Struthio camelus: one gene and its partner. The protein of the gene in region 1 interacts with the protein of each later gene in a biochemical or structural test. Links are inferred from orthologs where the notes say so. Each region holds a gene or a part of one and is shown in the gene's direction. Other genes may lie near its edges.

What was found.
Region 2: of the proteins of MTOR (region 1) and MAF1, one has a biochemical effect on the other in vitro, tested with the Homo sapiens proteins (2 studies listed by BioGRID and IntAct). The link is inferred for Struthio camelus from reciprocal best matches to the Homo sapiens genes MTOR and MAF1.

The regions. Positions count from the first base shown.
Region 1 is NC_090962.1:6,553,877-6,564,044, reverse strand, and holds the start of MTOR (serine/threonine-protein kinase mTOR), read left to right. Parts: upstream 1-5,371; 5' UTR 5,372-5,391; intron 5,392-5,444; coding exon of another isoform or gene 5,445-5,472; exon of another isoform or gene 5,473-5,661; intron 5,662-5,901; exon of another isoform or gene 5,902-6,015; intron 6,016-7,090; 5' UTR 7,091-7,133; coding exon 7,134-7,253; intron 7,254-7,616; coding exon 7,617-7,725; intron 7,726-8,468; coding exon 8,469-8,531; intron 8,532-9,009; coding exon 9,010-9,242; intron 9,243-9,605; coding exon 9,606-9,806; intron 9,807-10,168. Other genes in the region: UBIAD1 (ubiA prenyltransferase domain-containing protein 1), read right to left, coding at 3,002-3,489, 4,437-5,003, 5,445-5,472. UniProt on the Homo sapiens protein: Serine/threonine protein kinase which is a central regulator of cellular metabolism, growth and survival in response to hormones, growth factors, nutrients, energy and stress signals.
Region 2 is NC_090943.1:173,000,082-173,007,336, reverse strand, and holds the start of MAF1 (repressor of RNA polymerase III transcription MAF1 homolog), read left to right. Parts: upstream 1-1,890; 5' UTR 1,891-2,245; intron 2,246-7,255. UniProt on the Homo sapiens protein: Plays a role in the repression of RNA polymerase III-mediated transcription in response to changing nutritional, environmental and cellular stress conditions to balance the production of highly abundant tRNAs, 5S rRNA, and other small non-coding RNAs with cell growth and maintenance.

The DNA.
Region 1 (10,168 bases):
TTTCCACCCAGTGTCTGTGCTGAGGTTATTTTGGTCTACCTATATTGGTTAAAAATCATCTGTTAGGTCAGTTTATACCTAAGGGTTTTCTAATACTAACATGCCTTTGAAAAAAATACAGAGATAAAGCACATTTTACTGTCAAAGCTCTTCTCAAAAATGATGTCGGCTCAGCATCCCTGTGAGGTAGGCAAAAATTAGCTCTGTTTTCTGAGACCCAGAGAAGTTGAGCAACTTCCTCAAAGCCCCGGTGAAGAAACAGTGTTATTTATTATCAATATCCTTAAAAGCCTGAAATGATCTTTGTCTTTTTTACAGCCAGGGAATCAAAAGCATTTTAGATGGATTTTCATCCCATTCCTAGTATTATACTGCATTGAAACCCTCCCACCCAGACAAGTGTTCTACGAACACATACAAGTATACAAGACTCTTGTTTCATCTCTGTAACAAAAAATGCTCGTCCTTCCCAGCACTAAGCAGGCATCCTGCACAGGGGGCTTTTCTCTACTGGCAAATCGTAGCTTAGCTACAACTAGAGTTACATATGCCACCCCATCAATGACCTTTTCCTAGATTTTTCTCTCCACCAGTACAAGAATTGCAGTTATCAAACATATGAGCCGTGTTGTAGTTACTTCAAGGAATTTAGCTCGAGTACTCCACTGTATGGAAAAGGAATAGAAAGGGGTAACTACATTCTTTTAAACAGATAGCATAAAAGAGCAAGCTATCACAAAACAAAACACTCAGCTGCTAAGAAGGATAGCAACAAAGCCATGCTAGGCTTAACCTAATAAAACCACCTATCCAAAAGGGTAAGATTAACAGATTAACCAACTCAAGCCATGTCTTTTGCTTCGCAGAAAAGTTAAGTGGGTTTCTAAGCTAGACTCTTCTTTAGGTCCGCAATGAAGTAACAGTAGACACTGGGTTGTACACAACTGTCTTGAAAGCTGCTTCCAAAAGCTTCTGGCTATCTCCCTCCATTTGGCTGAGCTGAACTTCAGCATCTTCTCATCCTGTTCCTAACCTATACAAATCTTTAGCTGTAGAAAGCAGCACCCAGTTGCCTTTTGGCTTGTGCCTAGTCAGATTAGAGATCATCTGCCCAATTTTAATAAAAGGTGAACCTGGGGCTTGCAAAATCTGCCTGGAGAGAATCCTTATAGTTAACTACAACTCAGCTGTGAAGCAACAGACCAACAGCCGGGTAACAGGAAGCCATAAAAACAGTCACTTGAACTAACCTCGTATCCACTCAGCTTTACCGCTGTCAGTACGCTCCACTAATGTAACACCCAGCATTTTCAGATGAACACCACAAGGGCATAATTTACCTAGGACAGATGCAGGATAATGCTAAGCTTGTGTTGGTAGTTTATTGCTCACCTTTAAAAGCCTACTCTCGTTTGATTCAAAAGCAAGGTTGTGCTCCAGGCACCAGCAGCTCCCGTCCAACAGCTGTATCGATTCCAGTCAACCTTTTCACAACTTCTGTGAATAAACATTTCACCAAAACCTCACGTATAAGAAACCAATACTTTTTCTTCAACCAAGAAGAGAGTTCAGGTGCTACCAGGAAACACGGAACGGACCAAACTCATCCTAGGTTATGGCTCCACTGAAAATCACTGGTATTTCCCAGCTGAGTTTGGTATGGTCTGTTTTTCACACAGCTACATATTGACTGAAATTACCCATTCCCCAAAAGGCCATGTGAATCAAGTGGCAAAACCTGCAGAAGAAAATTAAAATCATAAGGTGTAGAGGTGGAAAGAGGTGGGGAACCCCACTTCACAGCTAACTTATCACATAAATGTGTTTTCAGTCATGCAAACCCTCTACTCCATTAGAAAAAGAACATGTTAGCAAAAATATTTCCATCCCTTTCCCAGTCCCAATTTTTGGGCCGAGCCAATGCAAGAATCCTGATTTCTTCCTTCTAATCTTGTATCTTTTTCCTTTGTTGCCACCAAGGCTTCTTACAGGGCCTCTTAAAAAACGACGTTCAGCTATAATACTCTGGGCCTCTAAATAAAAAGAGAGAATGACAACTGGAAAAACCAGTTTTTCCAACTAAGAATACATCCATTTATCTGTATCCAGCCAGAGAATTCTGTCACCCTGTCTGTCAGATCCCCTCAACTCCAAGACTGTCATTTCAGAGAGTAAATCCTAAGCAAATGCAGAAATGAAAGCCACTGGTTTTCCTAGGTGTTGAGGGCTTTTCAGTTGCATAATTTGCATTTATGACTTCAACTTTCTTAGAGGGATAAAGTTTACTGGTTTTTGTCTTAAAGCTTATGCGGTGGGCCAGTCGTGCTCCATTTTAGCATCAGCATACCACAGAAACACATTGACTATAAGGAACAAGCAGAGGCAACAGCGAATGCTTGTGTATCTGGTGTCTTCCAGGGGCTGGGAAACATAAGTTCAAAGTTCGGCTAGGAAAAGAAAAACAAAAAAGATTAAAACATACAACAGATGAAGATGAACTATGGTCACAAGGGAGCGAAGCGAGAGCGCCTGCATTGTTGTGACACTAAACATTTGGCAGTGCTTTGTGTTTACCGCGCAGGAGACACTGGAAGCCCTTGACCGCGGTAAAGGAGTCATAAGAGCAATCCTTGTGCTTGTAAATGGAAAGGAGAGTTTATATTTGAGGCTCAGGCTTATTTCCGTTAACTTAACGGTGAAAGCCCCTCAGAATTCAGTGGCAGAAGCACAAGGTTCTTTAAACGTTTCCTTGTTCTCAAGTTGCATTGTTCCTCCTGAAGCAACGCAGCGCAGGTCATCCCTTCCAAAGGACTGACAAAGCACTTTTCAGAAATCTGTCGTGCAAGCTAACTGAGACCAGAAATTATAAAATTCACATACAATCATGAGCTCAAGAAGGTCTCTCCATTCTTCCTACTGTCCGTAACAGGTCATCCACCCACATCGACCACTGTTAATTGGTGTTAATACTGAGTTGTGAGGCCTGACTCTACAGCTCCTGTTACAGTTTGGGGAGAGCCCCGGCTGGTGCTAGGGTAATACCACAAACATAGAAGAGCCCCAAGAGGAGATTGAGTTTGGCTGTCCGCTGAGGAATTTTGTTGAAGCTCTGACTCCGAAACTGCCTCTCCAGTGAAAATGCCATTGGGATGGTGAGAAGAGGCAAGGCCATGCTGATGGTGTAGCGTGTGGCCAACACACAGAAAATCAGGTAGGGCAAGAAGAGCAGCACGGTGTAGAGAATGTAGGAGAAGGCAGGGCCGATGAGGATAGCCAGGGTGACAATACCCGCCTGTTGGTCAGACTCCATGTCTCGCGTGTTGTTGCTGTGCAGGATGGCCTCGGTACTGAGAGCTAGTGGGATAGCGTAGAGCAGCGGTGAGACAGACAGATAACCAACCTGCACAGCATGGGCAAACATGACAGCCAGGGGCCCAAAGGTGATCAGGATCACCACGTCTCCAAGTGCAACATATTTAAATCCAATTCCTGTGGCAAGACACAAGAATAAAATGAAGTGTCATCAAACGACTCAAACTACAGAGGAGAATGGATTTTTTTTATAACAGATCAGCTGTTCCCACAGAAGCATTGTAAAAAAACAACAGGTACATACCTAAAGCTGACAAACGTTCTCTCTTTTTTTCTTTTCTAAAGGTAATAAAAGAAAAGCAGCTTCTGAATTTCTCCAGCCAAACCACTCGACAAAATTAAGGGCCGGGTTCTAATACCCTTCTTCACACCAAGAAATACCCTATTTCCACAGAAATCAATAGAAATAAGGCACTCTCTACAGTGATCAGACATACTAGATCTGACCCTGAAGAAACAGATAAAACGCTCAGAACAAAACACAAAACTGACAAGGCTCTTTCAAGTAAACTCATGCGACAGTTAAAAGTTTGCTCCTGTTTTCCTAAGCAAAATATTTTATGTTTGTATTTACCCAACCCAGGAAGACATCAAAACATCCTCTTCTATGCAAAAAAAAATTCTCTCCTTAGTAAAAACAAATACAAAAACTATTCTACAGTCCCAGTGAAACTCCTTCTGAAGAATAACAACATATTCCAACACAATGCATAATGTAATTCTACCCATAAAAAAGAATATATGCAGTGAGCTATACAGTCAAGGGACACCAGATACACATCATCCAACGTTTCAGCAAGTTTTGAAAAGCACCTAAAGTCATATATGCAATAATGTCTCAATAGCACTTGCCAGCTGAAGAACTGAGTGCATCTACTCCTATGCCTTCCCAAAACAACCAGTGACAAAGAATACCAGTCTAAGTATCAGTACTCTAGGAAGTGTCACCAAATAGCTGTACAATAGTTAACCAGATCACTTGGAGCTTCCAGAAGCCCTTAGATAAGTCAGTAAACTCTCCCACGTCCGCATCAGAATCACAGGGAATGGGATATAACGCTTACCTCCAGTATAAAGGAAGGAGCTGGAAAGTCCCCCGAAGTAAATCAAGGCCAGGTGCTCCAGCTTGAGTGTAGAGACACAGTAGAGCCCAGCAGCACAGATACAGCCCACAGTGTAAAGGAAGACTCCAAACCGGACTACATCCTGAGGTTCTAAAATCTGGTCCACCAAAGTCCTGTCATCACTCTTCTTGTGATCAATGCCTTTGGAGAAGTCATAGTAAGTATTCACCAGGTTGCCTGCTCCATGCACAGCGAGGACAGTCACAGCGCTTCCCACCAGTAGCCCTGGATCTAGTGCTCCTTGGGCCCGGTACGCCAGGGCGCTGCCGAGCGCCACCGGGGTGAGGGAGGCACTGAAGCTCCAAGGCCTGAGGGCCAGCACGTAGGCTGCACATTTCTGCCTCCAGGAGCCGGGGGGGCCCCTCTCCGGCACAGCCAGCCCGGAGACGAAGTCGCTCCTCTCGCCGCCCCGGGGGCTCTCTGCGCCAATGCTGATCTTCTGCATCAGCTCTCCCGACCCCATGCTCTGCCCGCGGTCCCGGCCACACCGCCTCACAGCAGCAGCACCTGGGAAGGAGAAGGGCCGCGCGTCAGCCTCGCCGCCCGGCCCCGGGGCCCCAACGGCCGCGGGCCCCGCGGAGCAGCGCCACGGCCGCCGCCATGCCGGGCGGGCAGCGCCTGAGGGGCCGCGCGCGCCGCCCTCACCCGCTCTGACAGGGCGCTGCGCGCGCGCCTCAACGGCCGCCGCCGCCGCGCGCCCCAACCGCCGCCGCCGCGCGCGCCCCAACCGCCGCCGCCGCCCCGCGCGCCTGCGCCACAACGGTCGCAACGGCCGCTGCCCCCTGAGCCCCCCCTCCTCCCCTTCCCCGCCGCAGCGGCGCCGCGCTGAGGGTTCCGCCGCAGCGCCGGGCTGGGGAGGAGACGGGGGGAGGCCCACGCAGCTCCTTAACGGCCCGTAAGTACTTCCCGCCCCGGTGTAAACGTTAAACGCCCCGCGTTGTTACGCACGGCTGCTAGTGGTCACTTCGAAGCACATGGGACGACAAACACGCCGGCGCTGCTACACGGTGCCATTACGGTAACGGAGCACGGCTCCGCCGCCGCCGCCGCCGCCGCCTTCCCCCCGCCCCGCTGCCCTTGGCGCTGTCATGCGAAGCCGGACACATTTCAGTGCCGCACACCGGGCGCAGCCCCGCTCCCCTCCCTCCGCATGCGCAGAAAGCGCACACGCTTTACGGAGGGGCGGAAGCCGGTGGGAGTCCGGAGGGCAGGCCTAGCCCGACTTTTCACCAATCGAGCATTCCTGGCCCTCCCATTGGTCACTCCGTACTGTCAGTTACTCCCAGCTGGCTTGATGATTGGTCGAGCCGCCACAGTCGCTCCTAGCGGTTCTCGGGAGAAGGGGCGGGGCCGGGAGGGCGCCTTCCCTTCTCTTTTTCTACTGGCCGAAAGCCGTGCCCGTCAAAGTCTTTCGGCGCGCCTATTGGCGGGCGGCGGCTGGCCGGCCCGGCAGGCGCGGGGGGAGGGGAGGGCGCAGGGGCCCGGAGCGGGGGAGCCGGTGGCGGTTGGGGCGGAGGCGGTGAGTGCGGCTCCCGGAGCCTCCCCGTCCCTCCGGCGGGAATAACCCCCCCCCCTTTCCCCCACCTCGCCGCTCACCGGGCCGGCGCCTCGCGCCCCGTCAGCGGCACCGGCCTCCAGGCCGGCCGCGGCCTCGCCGGCGGGAGACCCCGGCCTGGCCCGCCCCACCCCACCCCACCTCACCTCACCGGCATCCCGGCGGCGGGGCCCCGGCGCCGCCTCGCGGCGCTCCCGCTGCCGCCTCACGGCGCTCCCGCCGCCCGGCTCAGCCCTGGCGGCGGCCTGAGGGGGCCGGGGCCGCCCCGCCGTTTCTGTGACCTCGGTGGGGCTCTGCGGCGGTGCGCGGGGTAGAAGGCGCTCAGGTGTCGCTCCCCGGCCCTGCTGGGTGCAAGCGCGCAGCTTGGGTTTATACAGCCTGAGGATCCAGGGGGGTTCAGGACTTCAGGGGAAAGACAACTTTCCCCAAGGAGAAGTGCTCGTAAGAAAGTTTGGTTGTGCGTTGCGATAGTAAACATCCTGTTGCAGTGATTGCCGTTGCTGACAGTAGACTTCCCCCTTATAAATACGTGCTGGAGGATGTAACGCTTACCAGGCCCAGGGTGCTGAGTCTTGGTTGTGTAGCTAGACCAGCGAGGCTTTTGGGGAGGTCCTTGGGCGAAGGTGTTCATGGAGGAGTCAAATACGGCAGCGACACAATGACAGAGCTACTTATTTTGCCTACTTTTTATAGAGTGATTCTAGAGCTTGGTTCTACCCTAGTATCTTTTCAGCTGTCGCATGCCCTTTAACTTAGGGTTAGATCCCCATAGGATTAGGAATCTGACCTATTGGAGGTATGTTTGGGGAACTAGGGAACGAGGGAGCTGGGTCATGACGTTATGTGATGATGTGGTTTTATCACAGTGTTGTAGGGCCTAGGGAAACTAGTCGTTAGTTATATTTTTTACACTCTTTCAGAACAACTTCCTTTCAAGCTTTGGGATGTGTATTTTGGAGACAGTCAGTAGGGGCAGTGTCAAGGAAGAACTTCAGATGTATGCAATAGCTGAAAGCATTAAAAAGATTTTTCTCTGAAGTACTTACAGGACTTGATGCGCCGAGCCCCAGCACACCGCCATCATGTCAGGCACTGTGTCCATTCTCCAGCAATTTGCCAATGGCTTGAAGAGTCGCAGCGAAGAGACAAGGGCAAAAGCTGCCAAGGACTTGCAACACTATGTCACCATGGAGCTCCGCGAAGTGAGTCCTGCAAATGAGAACGTTTATCACATGGGTGTAATGCATTGGCTGGGTACTTTGGGGGTGGAGATTTTGGAATATGGAAACTGTCTTAGAGAGGAGGTCCAGCAAAGACTGGAGCTTACCTTTGCCCTGGCATGTGGGCAGGGTGCCTGAGTTGGGGACTCCGGTGATGGCCAAGCACTAGAATAAATACAACCTGATAGGTCTAGGGCACAAAGAAGAGCTATACCATTTTGTGTTTGTAATGTATGGTTAACTTAATTTCTTTGTGTTTAAGGGACCTGGAAAGCGTTGTCTTTTTGGGGGTGTCTGTGGTCGTGGAGAATGATGAAAGTTGATTTGAACTTTTTCATTTTGCAGATGAGTCAAGAAGAATCTACCAAATTTTATGATCAGCTGAACCATCACATATTTGAGCTGGTCTCTAGCTCTGATGCAAATGAAAGGAAGGGTGGCATTCTGGCTATAGGTGAGTGAAAGTGCTTAATGCCTTTGGTGAGTTTTCTCTTCACGCAACTACTCTTTAGGGACAGCTTTTCAAAAGGAATGAACTTTTTTGATCGTGGCCTTATGTTTGACCGCTTAGTACGCTGGGTGCGTGCTAGTCACTGGGTTCTCTTGAAAATCTGTCCAAGAGCGTCAGCATGGGAGCTGCTGAGTGCTGAGAGTGGCTGAAAACCTGGTGCTCCGTGGGCGCTGAGCTCTTCTGGGAGCTGAGCATCGAATATGAGCGCCGAGCGCTTGAAAATTCTGATCTTGAGCTCGTCTGAAAACAGAGTTTGTGCTGTCCGCTTATGTGTGTCATGGTGGGCTGACTTTCCGAGCTCCGTTCTGCCTGAGGACATTGATTCCTGTTATTTAAATTCACTTGGCTCAATGACAGCAGCTTCCATCCCTGGGAGGGGCTCACGTAGCTTTTGCTTTTATTCTCATCAGCTGCTCTATCAGTTGCTCTGGTTGTGCTTTCACTGTGATATGGCAGAACTGCCTGCATTGCGACTCCTAGGGAAATCAGCTTGTGTAGCCCGTATTGTAGCATTTGCTTTTTTTAATAGCCAAATAGGAGTTGCCTATGGGTTAGGCTCGCAGACGTAATCGTCCGACCCCAACATATTTGAAGACAGCGGAAGTCCCTTAGCTAGAGAAATCTTTGTTGACAACATCTGATTTTAAGCTGACAGTATCACTTTAAAATTGTTTCTGTGAATTTAGTGCTGTTGAAAGGTGCCGGCTTGACAACCCTGGACACTGACGGCCTCTTTATCTACAGAGCAGGTACAACCCAGGCATCGGCAGTGCAAGCTTCTGCCACACTGCCCCCTGCCAACGTGCCTCCACCCTGGCCTGGAGAGACCGTCTCTAGGGGCGAGGGGGAGAGCGCTTTCCTTGGTCCATTCAGTCTTTGACCTCTCTACTGAGACGGACCAGCTGTAGTAGTTGCATGTGGATGCCTTTCTATTGGGAATGGGTCTGTGATCCCAGGGTGGATGTATTTTTTCTTTTTAAACTAAAAATGGGGAAAATCTATGAAGCTACTGATGCATTTTCCTGTCCACTTAACAAGTTCAGGCTCGGAAGAATGGTGACCCTTTCCTATTGCTTGATTTTTTTTCTGTGGATTTGCAGTTTAGGAAGAGTTAATGGGAATCTTTAAGGAATGGACAGGGAATACTAACTCTCATCCAGGGATTACCTACTGTCTGCCTCACTGACTCTTAGGTGCAACCTATAGCCCTGCTTCCTTTCTCCACAGCAAGTCTCATCGGTGTTGAAGGAGGTAACGCCACCCGTATTGGCAGGTTCGCCAACTACCTGCGGAACCTCTTGCCGTCCAATGACCCTGTTGTCATGGAGATGGCCTCCAAGGCTATTGGGAGGCTCGCGATGGCCGGTGACACCTTCACCGCCGAGTACGTGGAGTTTGAGGTGAAACGAGCTCTGGAGTGGCTGGGAGCTGACAGGAATGAAGGTCGAAGACATGCAGCTGTAAGTGGTCCTTTTTATTTTGTCCTGGAAGGGGGGGGTTAGGCTTGAGTAACAGTGGTAGATGTGCCCAGAAAGCTGGGGAAGAGCTCTAGTTGAGAAGCAATGGCTGCCAGTCCATGCCTGAGGATGTGTGACGCTCCCATAGCAGATATATTGATTCTTCATCGTTTCTACCATAGTAATGCTCGGTGACTAAACAAGATTGAGACACCATTGTGCTACATACTATAAAAGGAGCTGGAAACAGCTCTGGTTCTCAGATATTAGCACTCTAAGTAAGTGATGCTATGGACTAGGAATTATGATGCCTGTCTGGAGGTGCTCATCCTCACAGACTACTGTTGTTCCTTTTCCCGTCTCCAGGTTCTTGTCCTGCGTGAGCTGGCAATCAGCGTGCCTACCTTCTTCTTCCAACAAGTGCAGCCGTTCTTTGACAATATTTTTGTGGCTGTGTGGGATCCCAAACAGGCCATCCGAGAGGGAGCTGTTTCTGCCTTAAGAGCCTGCCTTATCCTCACTACTCAGCGTGAGCCTAAAGAGATGCAGAAGCCCCAGTGGTACAGAGTAAGAAAATAATTTAGTTTTGAAACAGCTGCTTTATAGTGCAATGCAGATGATCAAGCGCCAGTACCAGAAGAGCTGTCCAAGCTAAGAAACTGCTTCGCTTTTGTCAGCATGTCTCTGCTTTGTTCGTAGAAAACCGCCTCCCCTCGATCAGGATTGAAAACATGGTGGCGTCCAATCAAAGTAGTTCCTTAAGACCACTATAAAAGCAAGCAAGAGCCTTAATTCCATCAGGAATCTATTGCACCGTCTCTAACTCACTTTCAGCTGTTGAGCCTGATTGCGTTTTGCAGCCAAACAGTTTTCTATCTAGTGCCATCTTTTACTAGTAGATGGTTTTATTAGTGTAGATGAAACATACA
Region 2 (7,255 bases), on another chromosome or scaffold:
CCTGTCGCGGGTCTGTCCTCAGCGAGGCAGTTTGGTGCCCCAGAAGTTCAGCTCTGCCCGTGTCGGGCCCCCACCGAGCTGGTTTGGCCCAGGGAGGTTTCGCCCTCATCCAGGCAGTCCGGCCCTCGGCGAGGCGTTTCCACCCTCAGAGGTTCGGCCCTTGGCGAGGCTGTTGAAGCCGAGGAGGTCCAACCTCGCTGAGGTCCTTCAGCCCTTGCTCTCAGCATTTCCAGCTGCCAAGGGACACGGAGCGGCTCGACAGCAGCTGAGATTCCCAAGTGCTGGATTCCCCCCGGGCTCAAACGTGTCTTCGTTTCCTCTGAGTGCTTCACGCTCCTGCAGCGCATCACGCTCTTGGCCAGACATTTCTGCGTGCTGAACGGGGACGTGGACGTGGCCAGAGGCCACCAGTCTGCTCCACACAGAGCCCCCGTTTGGAGGGGAAATGGGGAATGACCCCAGCCTTCATCCCGGGCCGGTCCGCGCAGCGCTCTGCGGAGCGTGTTAGTGCCCGCGCCTCAGCCGGCAGGGGATCAAGGTGTGGAAGCGGCACCAGCCGTGCCTGCACCGCGGAGCGATCGCGGAGCAGCAGAGCCCCGTTTCCTCCGCTCCTCCCGCAGCCTCGGCCAAGGCAGTGAGCCGGCCTGATCAGGGGTGCGGTGGGCCTGGCGCAGTGACCACTGCGAGGGTGCAGGATGGTGCACCCCTGGCCAGGGACCCCCTGGCAAGGAAGGTTCCCTTGGAGTGGCCACCTTCCGCTCTCTCCCCAAATCGTTAGGGTGGCCCCACTCCCCTCTGTAGGGGAACAGCCAGCAGGCCCGGAGGAGCCGGGCTTTGTGACCACTGACCTCCGTGGTGCACCAGGACGAGATGGGCTTTGTGACCACTGACCTCCGTGGTGCACCAGGACAAGATGGGCTTTGTGACCACCAACCTTCACAGTGCGCCAGGATGAGATGGGCTTTGCGACCGCCGACCTTCATGGTGCTCCAGGACGAGACGGGCATTGCAACCACTGATCTTTGCATTGCACCAGGATGAGATGGGCTTTGCGACCGCCGACCTTCATGGTGCTCCAGGACGAGACGGGCATTGCAACCACTGACCTTTGCATTGCACCAGGACGAGATGGGCTTTGTGACCACTGACCTCTGTGGTGCACCAGGATGAGATGGGCTTTGTGTCCACCAACCTTCACAGTGCGCCAGGATGAGATGGGCTTTGCGACCGCCGACCTTCATGGTGCTCCAGGACGAGACGGGCATTGCAACCACTGACCTTTGCATTGCACCAGGACGAGATGGGCTTTGTGACCACTGACCTCCGTGGTGCACCAGGATGAGATGGGCTTTGTGTCCACCAACCTTCACAGTGCGCCAGGACAAGATGGGCTTTGCGACCGCCGACCTTCATGGTGCTCCAGGACGAGACGGGCATTGCAACCACTGATCTTTGCATTGCACCAGGATGAGATGGGCTTTGCGACCGCCGACCTTCACGGTGCTCCAGGAGGAGCCGGGCTTCGCAATGCACCAACCTTCGCGGTGCACCGAGCTTCCCGACCCACCAGGCTTCGCGGTGCACCGGGAGGAGCCGGGCCTGCAGCGCCTGGACCTTTCCCATGCACCGGGCCCTGCCCCGGGGCGGCCGGTCTCTGCGCTGCCCCCGCCGAGCCGGGTGGGGGCGCCGCGCGCCGCTCCTGTGATTGACAGCCGCTCCCTGCGTCTTTGTCCCCGCCAGCCAATCAGGGCCCCGAGCGTTCCGGCAAGTGGGAGGGGCTAGGCTCAGTCCCCTCGGAGGGCGGGCGCGCTGCTCCTGATTGACTTCTGCGCTCGCCAATGGGAGGAGAGCCCCGCGGGGATCGCCACGGCCGTCCTCCAATGGGGGAGGGGGGAGCTGTCAGCAGCCGCTCGGGACGGCCGGGCCGCGGGCGGGGCGGGGCTTCGCCGCTTGTTGTCGTCCGGTGCCTGAGGAGAGGGTCGCTCGCTCGGTCGCTCGCTCGCCCGTCCGCCCGCCCGGGGAAATCCAGGTTTCGACCAGCCGCTCGCTCCGTCCCGATTAGTCGGGGACATGTCGAGGTGGGCGGAGGCCCGGTGGGCCGGTGTGAGACGGCGGACGGCGGCCGAGGCACACGCGCCCTCCTCGAGCTTTCCCCGGAGAAGCTTTCCTTTACAAACGCCCCGGGACTGAAGGAGCCGTCACCGTGAAGAGCCCCGCCGGGACCGAGTGCAGGAGACACTAGTAGGTCGGTTTCCGCTGCTTCTCCCCTCCCCCGCTCCCCCCCCTCGGGAGTACCCCGCGGACTACAACTCCCGGCACGCCCCGCGGCCGCGCGCCGGGGCCGGCGGCAGCGCCGCGGCGCAAGGCAAGCTGGGAGTTGTAGTCCTCGCCTGAGGGCCGCGGCCTCGGCCGCCCGCGGCGCGGAGGATGCTGGGAGGCGGTGCGCGCGCGGCATGCCGGGAAGCTGGAGGCCCCGGTCGGGCGGTGGGGAGGGGGTGGTGGCGGCTGGAGCCGCCGCGCCGCCTTTACCCCGTTTTCGTTACCTCCGAGCCCCGGGCGCGGCCCGGGCCGCCTTGGGCCCGCACCGCTGCCGGAGTGCCGTTACGCCGGCGGAGTAGCGCTGCGGGGCGCGGGGCCCTCCCTTAAACGCGGCCTGTGGAGGCCGCGTTTAGGGAAGGAAGGTGCGACAGCTGCGAGGTGGAGGGCCGCGCCGCGCCGAGCTGTCCGCCCTCACCCGCCGCTTGCCGCCTGCGGCCAGGGGCGTCCGCGCCCCGTTTCTCCCTGGAGAGTCCGCCCAGGAGCTCGGCGGCGGAAAGCGCCGTGGGGAGCCACAGCTGCGCGGAGCTGCAGGCGTCCCGATAGCGCCCGTGGAAGAGGAACGCTTTCCGGGGCAGGCGGCTAAGAATTGCCTGTCTGAGAGCACAGCTGGGCGCAGCTAATAGCTTGGTTGAGTTCACTTCTCTTAAGTGAATTCACTTATTCATTTGTTTTCTCCCCTCCCGAGTTTTAGCACTTCAGGCTGCTTATTGCCTGAACTAGACTAGGGTTTTGTTTTCCCCAGTTTTTAAATGGACTGAATTTCTCTGGATTCTGTCTTGTAGTCCTTGGTGGCACTGGAACGCATTGTGAGCCCCGTGATATCTGAAACCCTGTAGATTATGCCTCTGTGTTTTCCATTAACCCTGGTTTAAAATTAGATCTGTCCAACTTTCTGGATGTCCTCTCTCCTCCCCTCTCCTCCTTCAGTAACTTTTGTGGTGTGCGAAACCATGTTAGCAGTAGGGTGCTAGTGTGTCCCTTGCTCCGTTTATAATACAAACTAATGCAACCTTCCGTGTTGTCTGCTATCCAACGTGCCATATGTACTGCAGGAATGAGATTACAGCGCTCTGAACTGAATCCACCTTAAATATGCTTATCTTGTGGCTGGCTTAGCAGAGCACTTCAGCTGAAGTGTCAGTTTTGCTTTTGTTCCCTTACTGGGACATGGTTCGGGCAAAGGAGGAGACTGAAGCGTTGTTTCAGCACCACCGTTAAGATCAAGCATCGCATGTCATGTGTTGAACTGTCTAGATATTGCAACCGCAAACCTTTTGGCGGAGAGCCTGTGCCTTCGCCCACCCTGCCTGCTGCAGGCTCTGCTGCTCCCTCCCTCTGCTCGGAGCAGGAAAAGATGTCTCTCTCGATACGGGTGGGTGTCGCGTTCATTCTGCACCACGTAAAAATGTGGTTGAATACCTAGTTTTACTCTTCCTGTTGCGGTGTCACCCATTGACTGCTGATCCTTGGAGACACCGTGCCCTGCATTCCCTCAGCGAGGGAGTAGCGGCATGCCTCTGCCGCTCCTTGGCAGCGCTGCTCCGGTGGCGCCGTAGCGGTAGAGAGGAACGGATACGGCTTTTATAATGCAACGTTTCATTGATGGCGACTCCAAGGAGCTTTTCAGTCAGTGGTATTGCTAAGATGTAACGTTGCCCTGTCCACACCTCAGTGGTCAGGGCCCTAGCAGCCACCGTAATAGTTCTTTCCAACCGAGGACTTCTCTGTGCTGCAGGACTGTTGCTAGCCAGTTGCGCCAACGTTGAATAGCTCTATGCTGAACGCTAGCCTTAACTTCTTGAGGTCAGGTTCTTCAGGAAGTGCCAGACTAGTTGTTTCTCTTCAGGCTCTCACCTGTCCGTAGAGGCAGATTTATCAAGCTTTGCTTTGAAACAGAAGATTGTTCAAAAAATATGGCTTCCAGTGCTTTTATACTGCTGGCTTCCTGAGACTGCCCAGGGTACGGAGGGGAGCACCTGCATCAACCTGGCTGTCCGCAGTAAAACCTACTGTTTTGGTGGCAATTGTTGTATTGTTGATTGAGCAGCAACAGTTCCAGGCTCAAAGCTTTGGTTTCCCTCTCTGCAAGTGTTTGTAATGTAGTAACAAACAGGTTATTACTGAACACTTTAGAGAGGAGAGCTCCTGGCTGCTGCTTCATTGCCTCTCTGTCACCACCATATGTTTATAGCAACTCGTCCTGTCAAACGCTAAAGCAGGCCCTTCAGGCTTGGCCTTTGGCTCTGGAAAATGGGGGAAAGGATGAAGTACAGCGTCTTGGCTGCATGAACGCTGAGCCTGTCACCTCTTCCTCTCCTCGACCTGTGTCCTGCCTCCTGCACTCTGCAGGGCTGAGCGGCTACCACTTATGGAGGAAATGCACGTTTCCTGTAGAGGCAGCCCATTTCTGCCTTGTTGAACGCCGAGTTCTTTTGTATTTCTCTGAACTTTGTTGCACTTCTTGAGATGAAAGAGTAACACGTAGGCAGAGGCTGGAGAGATCAGTATTTCTCAAAGTCCCAGCACATACAACTCCCTAGCCGGATCCAAATGGCCTGGTATAGACTGATAAACACTGTACCTAAACAGCCAGGGCTGAGACATAATCCGTTAAACTTACTGTCTAGCTATTGACGCTTCTGTCTCTGCATTGATGCAAAATCTCTCTGTAGCCTTCTGAGAGGAACTAAATCAACATGTCTTGAAAATCCTTTCCATCACCTCTTTAGATGCTTGCTGCAGAAGTCCTATGCTGTACAGCTCTTCCAAAATAGCACTTGGGAGCTGGGTATGGGTCTCTTCACACTTGCGTGTTTAGCTGAAGGCAAAAAAGTCCATATCCCATAAGATTCCCGTTGTCTGTTGTCTTCCAGTGTTAGAAGCAGGCTTGGCTTTTGCTCATTTAGGGCTCACGTTAGTTGTTCTAATTTTGGTCACTGGCAAGTCTTCTGGTATGATCCGAAGACAGCTGGCACCTCGTCCTGTCTTCTCCCTCCGAGCAGTTCTCTGCAGCTTGAGCACCCCGTCCCTCCGACGTGCACTGGAGCAAGCTGTGGGAAACCGCTGCTAGCTTTGACTTTTACAGTGCCCGTGTTCTTAGTCTGGTGATAGCAGCCTCGTATAACGTTACGAGCAGAGTGCACCGTCAGATTTTTGTGCAGCCCTTGTTGGCTCTGATTTTAGGTGTCTCTCTGTAGAGCATGGTGGGCGGGGGACAGGTTTTCATGTCCCGAGGCGCCTGTAGGATCAGAATTTCAAAGGAGCATCTATTGCTTGAGCAACGTGACTAGTCTGGATTATCGTTTTATTATGAGCACTCAAGTGTGCCTCATACCTTTTGAATCAAGTAGAGAGACCTGTTCCAGAGCGCTGGCACGCGTGCCGCTATACGAGGGACTTGCAGGAGGGAAGAAGCGGTCCTCACAGGTGAGGATCCTGTGGCCCAAGTTCCGTTTTTTGCCTGAGGTCCTTGCCTTGTATCTTGTGGGTTGGCCTTTAATTCCCTGTTATGACTGCTTCCCCTCTTTCATTTTCCCAAGGCTCTTCCTGAACTCGTTGCTCTCTCGTTTCACCTACAGCTGTTTGAGAGGAAAAGGTAGGGCCAACGTGGGGACTGCTGCAGAAAGCCCTGATCTTCCCTGGCATGGAAGACTCTCCTATACCAGAGGACTGACAGGCTAAATGTTGGTACCTTAATAAGCTGAAAGTAACTGGAGACTTGCACACAAAAAAAGGTTTCAGGATAGTGGGAGCTTGCTTTGTGGCCTGACTTGGGCTGTTCAGCTTTGTGTGTGGGATTCTTTCCCATTTGGAGGGATGTTAATCACTATGACAGCCAGTATTTGATGCTGTCTAGGGTTCTGCTAAGCTGTGTATGCTTATGGGAGCGTCTGAGCAGAGACACTTGCTTGCCGCTTCTTCCCCAGATACGGTATGTGGGGCTGTTTGCCAGCAGTTTAGCTGAGGCTGTTCTATTTAATAGGCTGGGGTTGCGGCGAATGCTGAAGCTGCCTCTCAGATGTGGTGTTTACTTTAGGTGTCAATTTGGCTTGGACATCACCTGGGTTTTAATCGCTTCGGGCAGCGTCAGGGTAAGAACATCCAGCACCCTGCAATCCTTTGCTTAGAGCAGACAGCGTGGTGGTGCCAGTGAGACATTGCAGGGGGCGGTGGGTGGCTCTCAGCGTGTGCGTGGGTCTCCCACCCTGCTACTTCGTTGCTGCTCCCTCCTGTCTAGGGCCCAGGACTCAGCCCAGGCTTGGTGGCGCTGTCTGCGTCCCTCTGGCCCTGACTCAACGTCCATCATGGTTTCGCAGACACACAGCGTCCCCTTCACGCATGCAGATCTGAAACTGAAGGGCCGGGAGTCTCTCCTCTGACTCGGTCCTGGTGCCCAGAACTAGGGTGTGGATATCTCTTCTCTGGGAGGCCTGTAAGGGGACACTGTTTCCAGAGAGCCCTGGCATGTGCTTCCCTGCTTGTTTACAAATTCTCCCGTTACAGTCCCAGGGTTGTGCAAGAGGCCCTGAGGCGGGGAGGGAGCATAGGCTCCGTGCTGGGCTCTGGAGGAAGACAGCGTTCCCCCTTAAAATCCAGCAGGCAGCTCCGTCAGCCCCTAGAGCAAGCCTGAGAGAGACGCTCCATACCCCTGGGGCGACGCTGCCCTGCGTGGAAATAGTAGTTGAAGCCTGCGTTTCTCCCCGTGGGCTGGGGGCCTGCCAGGCAGCTGTGAGGACCGAGAGCCAAATCTCTCTCCACCCTCTCTCCTCCTGTTAGCCAGTTCCACTGTTGATCCTAGATTTGGGTGGAGGCCCTGAGAGACCACATGAAAGAGCAGCTTCCCGAGCCAAAGCTGCAATCGCCTGAGTCCTGCTCCAGGAGACAGCTTGCAGTGCTTGGCAGGAGTGTTTGTGTTGCTCCCAGCCACAGTGGAACC